2 linked regions of the Arabidopsis thaliana genome follow. The protein of the gene in region 1 purifies or fractionates together with the protein of each later gene. This does not show direct contact. Each region holds a gene or a part of one and is shown in the gene's direction. Other genes may lie near its edges.

Evidence for each region.
Region 2: the proteins of NFD1 (region 1) and AT5G55140 fractionate together in Arabidopsis thaliana (co-fractionation; one large-scale study listed by BioGRID). This does not show direct contact.

What each region holds. Positions count from the first base shown.
Region 1 is NC_003075.7:15,049,138-15,053,518, reverse strand, and holds NFD1 (Ribosomal protein L21), read left to right. Parts: upstream 1-1,767; 5' UTR 1,768-1,888; coding exon 1,889-2,323; intron 2,324-2,407; coding exon 2,408-2,488; intron 2,489-2,643; coding exon 2,644-2,745; intron 2,746-3,037; coding exon 3,038-3,112; intron 3,113-3,229; coding exon 3,230-3,349; 3' UTR 3,350-3,708; downstream 3,709-4,381. Other genes in the region: WRKY32 (WRKY DNA-binding protein 32), read left to right, coding at 261-916, 1,002-1,160, 1,255-1,603; LAP2 (Cytosol aminopeptidase family protein), read left to right, coding at 4,215-4,381. UniProt on the Arabidopsis thaliana protein: This protein binds to 23S ribosomal RNA in the presence of protein L20.
Region 2 is NC_003076.8:22,379,009-22,382,694, forward strand, and holds AT5G55140 (ribosomal protein L30 family protein), read left to right. Parts: upstream 1-1,987; 5' UTR 1,988-2,104; intron 2,105-2,324; 5' UTR 2,325-2,361; coding exon 2,362-2,553; intron 2,554-2,641; coding exon 2,642-2,779; 3' UTR 2,780-3,186; downstream 3,187-3,686. Other genes in the region: AT5G55132 (Defensin-like (DEFL) family protein), read left to right, coding at 78-144, 286-461; AT5G55135 (uncharacterized protein), read left to right, coding at 951-1,031, 1,121-1,378; AT5G55150 (F-box SKIP23-like protein (DUF295)), read right to left, coding at 3,267-3,686.

The sequences.
Region 1 (4,381 bases):
CTCTCATTAACATTGATTGTGCTAGAACTTGTAAAGTTTAACTCATTTCAGTGTCTTCGATGTTACTCGTTCAGTGATTATACAATAACATGGGAATAGGATTAATCGTAATGGTTTTAACCTTTGGCCAAGTTCAATCTGTATCTGTATCAGTTTGATCTGTTACATTTTAGTGTGTCTGATTTCTTAGGCAATTCTGAGGACAAGAATCACTGTTATCAAGGCATGACATTTAACTGCTTTTTGTATCACATTGGCAGGAGACTGATAGCGTCAAGGAAACTGTTGTAAGTGCGATTGTGCCGGTTGATGAAGTGGAAGAGAATCGTCAGGTAGAAACATCTCCTTCTCTGGCTGCATCGTCAGACTCATTGACAGTGACGCCATGTCTATCTTTGGATCCTGCAACTGCTTCAACCGCACAAGATTTACCACTGGTTTCAGTTCCAACTAAACAAGAGCAAAGATCAGATTCGCCGGTGGTTAACAGATTGTCGGTTACTCCTGTTCCTAGGACACCGGCTCGTGATGGTTATAATTGGAGAAAATATGGACAGAAGCAGGTTAAGAGTCCCAAGGGCTCACGGAGTTACTACAGGTGTACATACACTGAATGTTGTGCTAAAAAAATTGAATGCTCCAATGATTCAGGCAATGTGGTAGAGATTGTTAACAAAGGTTTACATACTCATGAACCTCCCCGGAAGACTAGCTTCTCCCCGAGAGAGATTAGAGTTACAACAGCTATCCGGCCTGTTTCAGAGGATGATACAGTAGTAGAAGAGCTATCAATTGTTCCTAGCGGTTCAGATCCGTCTGCTTCTACTAAAGAATACATCTGTGAGTCGCAAACACTCGTTGACCGGAAAAGACACTGTGAGAACGAAGCTGTGGAGGAACCAGAGCCAAAACGAAGGCAAGTTTGTAGAATTTTGCATTTCGGTGCTTACTCTTCACTTTGAAAGATGAAATTAATAGACTTTCTTCTCTCTATTTTTCAGACTGAAAAAAGATAACTCACAGAGTTCAGATTCTGTCTCCAAACCTGGAAAGAAAAACAAATTCGTAGTACACGCAGCTGGTGATGTTGGTATCTGTGGTGATGGATACAGGTGGCGTAAATACGGGCAGAAAATGGTGAAAGGAAATCCTCATCCAAGGTCTAGAAAACTAAACGCATGACCCATCTCTTTATCCACATATGACATCTTCTAATACGCATGGTGATTGATTTGTTCTGTTTCAAACATTCAGGAACTACTACCGATGCACTTCAGCGGGATGTCCAGTTCGTAAACACATTGAGACAGCAGTCGAGAACACAAAAGCAGTAATAATCACATACAAAGGAGTACACAACCACGACATGCCGGTGCCTAAGAAACGCCATGGTCCTCCAAGCTCAATGCTCGTAGCTGCAGCCGCTCCAACATCAATGAGAACCAGGACAGACGATCAGGTGAACATTCCGACTTCAAGCCAGTGCTCGGTGGGGCGAGAAAGTGAGAAGCAGAGTAAAGAAGCATTGGACGTTGGTGGAGAGAAAGTGATGGAATCAGCTAGGACTTTGTTGAGCATTGGATTCGAAATCAAGCAATGCTGATTATATGTAGTTTATGAGTTTTATAGAGTTCATCGACTCAATTTTCGCCTCCTTGTTCTTGTTATATAATAATAATAAAAAACCCCATGAAGATTACCAACTAAATACGTTAACATTCGTCTGTGTAATGATGGTATATGTTTATTGTGATATTAAATCGCTAATTTTAGTGAATAGCCTCTGGTTCGTCTAGAGGGTCTTCTGAAACTTGAAAGGGACTAAAAGACGAGAACAAAAACCCTTTCTCTCTACTCTGTGTAAACCCTAGTGTGTTCGTGCTCTCCGATGGCGAGTCTTCGATGCTTTCGTGAGCTGAGCCGCCGCGCTACGACTGTTTTCTCCATCAACCAGACGCGATCGATCTCTTCATTTCATGGGATTGAGTTTTCCGGGACCAGCATTTCTCATGGGACCGTAATTCCGAATCGATCTCTCACTAGGAATTTGCCATGGTACAGTCATTGGTATCGCTCTCAAGATCGTTGTTTCTCTTCGAACACAAAGGATACTGATGAAGATGAAGAAAGCAGTGAAGGAGAGGATGATGATGAGGAGGAGGGGGAAGACTTTGAGGATTCGGCGGATATGGAAGTAGAAAGGGAATATTCACCGGCGGAGAAAGTGGAAGAGGCGGAGGAGATAGGGTACAAGGTGATGGGTCCTCTTAAACCTTCGGAGAGACTTTTCAAACCCTATGAACCAGTGTTTGCCATTGTTCAGGTCTCGTCTCTGTGCTATCTCAATTAATCCTTTAGTTTCATTTCTCACTCTCACTGATGCTGAGTGGTTATTTTTATCCTGTAGATTGGTTCGCATCAGTTTAAAGTTAGCAATGGGGACTCCATTTTCACCGAGAAGTTGAAATTCTGTGACATCAATGATAAGGTATGCTAGCTTCAAGCTCTTCTTCGTTAATCTTTGCTATTCTTCTCTCAAAGGGCTAGACTTTACCGTATCTCTCGTAAGAAGGACGAACCTTTGCATTTGTGTTTATGATTTATGATTGTTGCTAAAACCTTTCTCTTTATGTCCCTTTGCAGTTGGAACTAACCAAGGTTCTTCTATTGGGCTCGGCAAGCCAGACGATTATTGGTAGGCCTATTTTGCCAGATGCGACAGTTCATGCTGTAGTTGAAGAGCATGTAAGTGTCTCATTGACTTGCTTGGTGTTTTATAATACTAGTGAAGCTGTGCTTAAGAATAATTTACAATTGAAAAGAGGATAGATGAGAGTTTGCTTGCTGAATCCGGTGACTGAGAGAAACTAAATCAAACTGTCTGCTGATTAGTTTGTGAAAGTCTTGCAAGTCATTAGATTAGTGTTCATCTATCTCTACATCATCTGAATGTCTTGATTTAAGATGGGCTTGGAATGTAGAAGGATCTACTCATGTACCAGCATTACTCAACTAGTTTTTCCTTGATGCGTGACAGGCTTTGGATGAAAAAGTGCTCATTTTCAAAAAGAAACGAAGAAAGAATTATAGGAGAACGAGAGGACATCGACAGGTATACTTTATAACTCCTTGTTTAGATAGACAGTGTGTTTATTTCATCTTTGCCTTCTTCTAGTTCTTTCCACTGTGTTATGATTGTTGTTTTTGACCATTCAACACTTGTGTCCAGGAATTGACGAAGTTGAGAATAACCGATATACAAGGAATTGAAAAACCAGAACCGAAGATCGTCCATAAGCCTTCGAAAGAAGCTGTTACAGAACAGACGAAGGCTGAGCTAGTTGCTTAGAGATAAAATTTGCTTCTTTCTTTTTTGCTGATGCCGATACATTTGAAGTAAGTTAAATTATCACTTGCTGTTCACTAAGAACTAGATTTTAAAGTCGTTGAAATGATGAAAAGGCCTTCTTGGTAGTTAGTGGTAAGTAACTAGGCTCCTGAGATATGAAATGTGATTTGCCTTTCACTGTCTTGTTCTCCTTGCTCTTCATTTTGTATTTAAACTGGCTCATGCTTGTGGGAGCTGTTTGTTGCTTCTGTTTCAGAAATAAAGATTTGCGGAAACATCTCTCTCCTTATCTTCTCTATGCTTTGTACTTTGTACTGTACTACTGTGGTTTGGTTATGGTTTAATTTACTTCTTCATGCAAGTCTCGGTCACAGATATGAAACTGGTGGTAAATTGGTAATAACTGCAAGTCACATTACACTCAAAATCTCGATTTTTTCCACTATGACTCTTTAGATCAGGTGATTATTATTGTAACTATATATGGCAACCACTTCCTCATCAACAAATGATTCACAGAATTGATAGTACTTGGAACTGATTTATAATTTCTTTTATCAACATCGGAAAATCGTGTAAGAATGCCTTGAAATATTTGAATGTTTGTAAATAGTATCAAAACCATTGTTTGTATAAATATGTATAAAGAACTTAAACAAAAGCAATTTGGAGCCAAAGAGAATTATAAAGCTACACGAGTACGTAAGTCCATGGTTAAGATCGGGTCGGGTGGGGACGGGTTGGATAAAAGCAAACAATGAGTCAAGTAAAAGAAGAATCATCGTCAACAAGAGAGAGAGAGAGATAAGCACAAACGCGGCTTTTCTTCTCCTTATAAATAAGAGAAGCTCAGTGCGTTACTCAAATGGCCGTCACTTTGGTAACGTCCTTCGCTTCTTCGTCTTCTCGCTTCCATTTCCGCTCATTCTCCTCTTCTCCGTCGTCTCTCTCCTCTTGTTTCGTCCGATTCCAGTTCCCCTCTCGCCTTAGACTCGCTTTTGCCGTCACGCCTCTCTACTCTTCTTCTAGAGC
Region 2 (3,686 bases), on another chromosome or scaffold:
ACTTTGAAATTCGCTTTTAATAGGTTTTGAGAAGCAGGTATAGAATCATCTTGAAAGAATAACAAATAACAACCAAAATGGTTGCATCTCATCGATTACTTACGTTGATGGTGTTTGCTCTCCTCACCATACCTATGATTTCTGGTAACACATTTATTTGTTATACAAATTATATATTTTTTTTAAAAAAATTGTTCTTAAAAAACTACAGTTTTCAATATTAAACTGACCATTTTTGCTTATAAATTTTTTGTTGATGAATTTTTTATTTATAAAATCGTATAGGACTAATTTCAGATAAATGTACGGAAGGATGTAAAAGCACAATAGGATGCAATACAAGATGCATGATGAGAGGCGGAGGGTATTGTGAAAGCGCTAAAATTCACGGGGCTGTTAAAATATTTTGTTGCTGCAACAATTATTCTAATTCTCCCATCTCCAGTCCGGTCATCAATTGATTGATCTCTTATTCTATATGTACTCTCGATCATAAGATATTATTAAAAACATATATTTATATAATGATAATTGATATAATCTCATCCTGATCCAACCCCCAATCTCTCTCATCAAAATGTTTATAAGAATTCAATACATGTACACAATAAAATCCACAAGAAAAACGACAGCGGTTCGACTTATAGTTAATGTCATTAGGACATCGATTTTGTCAAATCGATCATGTAAAGTTATGTATGAAACTGTAGAATATGAAATAGAAATCTTCGTATATTGGATTTAACTACAAAGGAAATTGCATGACGTCGTGACTAACCCTGGGAAACATGTCATCTTTTGGCTACGACGGCGCATCACACACACGTGGCATCATAATCATAACCTCCGTTGATGAGACATCAAAAGTCTCAATTAACTGCTATAGGAAAATTCATCTATGGTACTTGATCTAATCTAAGCTGCAAAAATAAGAGACCTCCGAAGAAAAAATGTTGAGAAATTATGTGAACCCAAAATCAATCTCCAAGCCTAATATAACAACATCATGTATTTACTCTTTTTATCTCAAGGTATATATTCTGATATTCCTACGTTTTCATGAAATAGATTAACTATATATATATACAAAGATTTTTGGAGATGTTTTCTTAATATGTAGAGAGGAAGTGCGAGTGGAGGGAGGGAAGAAGGAAGAGCTTCTTCGACGGCGGAGGAGTTCACAAGACAAGGTGTTGCTAGCCAAACAGTTGAGAAGGCTTTTGACGGAGCTGCGGTGGCGGTAAACGTCTCCGGTGATTCTGAGGCGGATGTGGAGAAGGTGAAAGAGGCGTTTTTAGATAAGAAAGACTATAATTATAAGAAGAGACCTGAGGATGATGATGATGGTTTGCCTATCAACACGGCTAAAGGAATATAACGTATGTGCATTTGTTAGATATCACTTGTAAAGTAGTAGTATGTAATAATATGCATCATGTATCATGTATGTAATATTATAGGCTTCATGTACTTTGTATAATAAATCGAGTAATGGATAGAAGAACGGTTGCCCTTTTTCTCTCTTTTTCTTGTCTACCAATATTTGTAAGTTTACCGATTTCTTTTAGTTATGTAATTTAGCTACTACTTTTGTATAAATATAATTTACTTTGATAATTTTCTCTTTTTAATAATGCATCATTACTCATTAGTAATAATATTGATCAACCCCAAGATTTAAAGCTATTGAACTTATAGAAGGTAGAAAAACCTTAAATAATACACCTACCTAGCAAATAGCTTTTACCAATTTAGAGGTTAGAACTAGTGATGAGAGCAGTGGAATTTGACTGTTCATCATACACTTTCTGAAATAAATTGTTTTTGCAAGATTAATAAATCTAAAGATTGATGTAAAAAAAATGAAACCAATCTAGTAATTTTTGAACAAATTATAAAAAGGTAAAGGAGCCAATAATTGGGCCCAGATAAAGCCCAAATAATTAAGCTAATCTACAAAACGCTGTCGTTTAACCATTGTTCCGCTAAAAGCTTAAAACCCTTAAACGCGAATCTCAAAGATTTTCCGAGCTCTGTTCGCCGTCTTGACTACACTCGTCGACGATCTCTTTCACCGGACTTCTCCCGTCTCTGTTTCCTCAAGGTACTCGAAAACCATCCATTTCTATCTCAAACACCTAATTGAAATCTCGCGTTATGCAGCTCCTCTTTTCTTCTGAATTGATCGATCTGATTTGGTTTCAATTCGTGATGATTCACTCTCTCATGATTCATGTTATCAATCGTCTTCGTTTATTGTATCTATTGATTTCTACGGTGAATTCTGTGTGATTGCTTGATTATGATTTTGTTAATGGTTACAGAGAGATTGAGTGATAAAGGAGACAAAAAAAAAAAAGAATGAGTGGTTTTAGAGCTTTCAAAGCACAAGTGCCTATTGAATGGAGCCAGAGCTTGTACATAACCTTAGTAAGAGGTCTCCCTGGAACAAGGAAGCTTCACAGACGAACACTTGAAGCTATGGGACTTCGTAGATGTCATCGTACTGTTTTGCATTCAAACAATTCATCCATTAGGGGAATGATTGATCAGGTTCTCTTCCTTTATCTTTTTATCTATTCTCATTTGTCATAAAATCCTAGATTTCAAAATTGTGATGGTTGGTTTTGCCTCTATGTAGGTTAAAAGGATGGTTGTTGTTGAAACAGAAGAAATGTACAATGCTCGTAAAGAAGCAGAAGCCAACCACAAAGCTTTGCGCCCGCCTCTCGTTGTCAGTCATTCGAGTCCTGCAACAGATTCATCCAACATGTCTTGAGAGTACTTTCATAAGATGGTAAGCTCTTCTACCGTCAGTTCGATAAGATCCGCTTGGATATTGTAGGCGGCTTATGTTTAAGTTCTCTCTAAAGGTGTCCAGGAAGTAAACTAGTCCTAGACGCTTGATAAGAAATGTTGGTATCAGTGTGTTTGGTGCCTCTTTATGTTTTTTGTATACACTGGATACTTGTGTATGTTTTGCTCTCATTCTGTCAATCTCAAATCTATCGGTTTTTTTTTTTTTTTGTGGCCAATGTTTCAAGATTGAGAATGTGAAAGTTGATTCTCAAAAAAGTTACCTTTCAATTTGATTAATGAAAGTAGTGAGAGAAAGATAGATGCTGAAATAATCATAACTTAATATATATGTTACAGATGAAGAACCAAAATGTATGATGACAATTGTAATGTATCAAAGAATTGAAATTTGAAATACAAAACCTATACTATGCAAACTACAAATTCTACAATGCATCAGTCATTCATCACTGAGGAACGTCTGTTGGTGTGACCCAAAACATCTGACAATTCCAAGATCTTGGCTGGTAAATTTTCATGATTTGCTTACTCTCCCATTCAAAAACGCTCAGATTCTGAGGCCCTGATCCTCCTACACTTGGATCATCACCATCAATGAAATAAACTGAGTTGTCTTTGAAAAATCCTCTCTCACCTGCTAAAACAGCTATACATCTACCTTGAGGGCTCAAGAACAAAGCTTTTCCTCTCAAGCTCATCACCTTTGTCCATTCGTTAGTCTCGCGATTGAATTCGTAAATCTCGAAAGAGGTTTCGAAATCACAATCGTCGTTAAGCTCCAGCTTCTTTAGGACCACCCACAGTTCGTCGTAATCCGACTCTGCCAAGTATTTCTTGCAAGAGTCGTACCGAAACGGCGAGGTGCT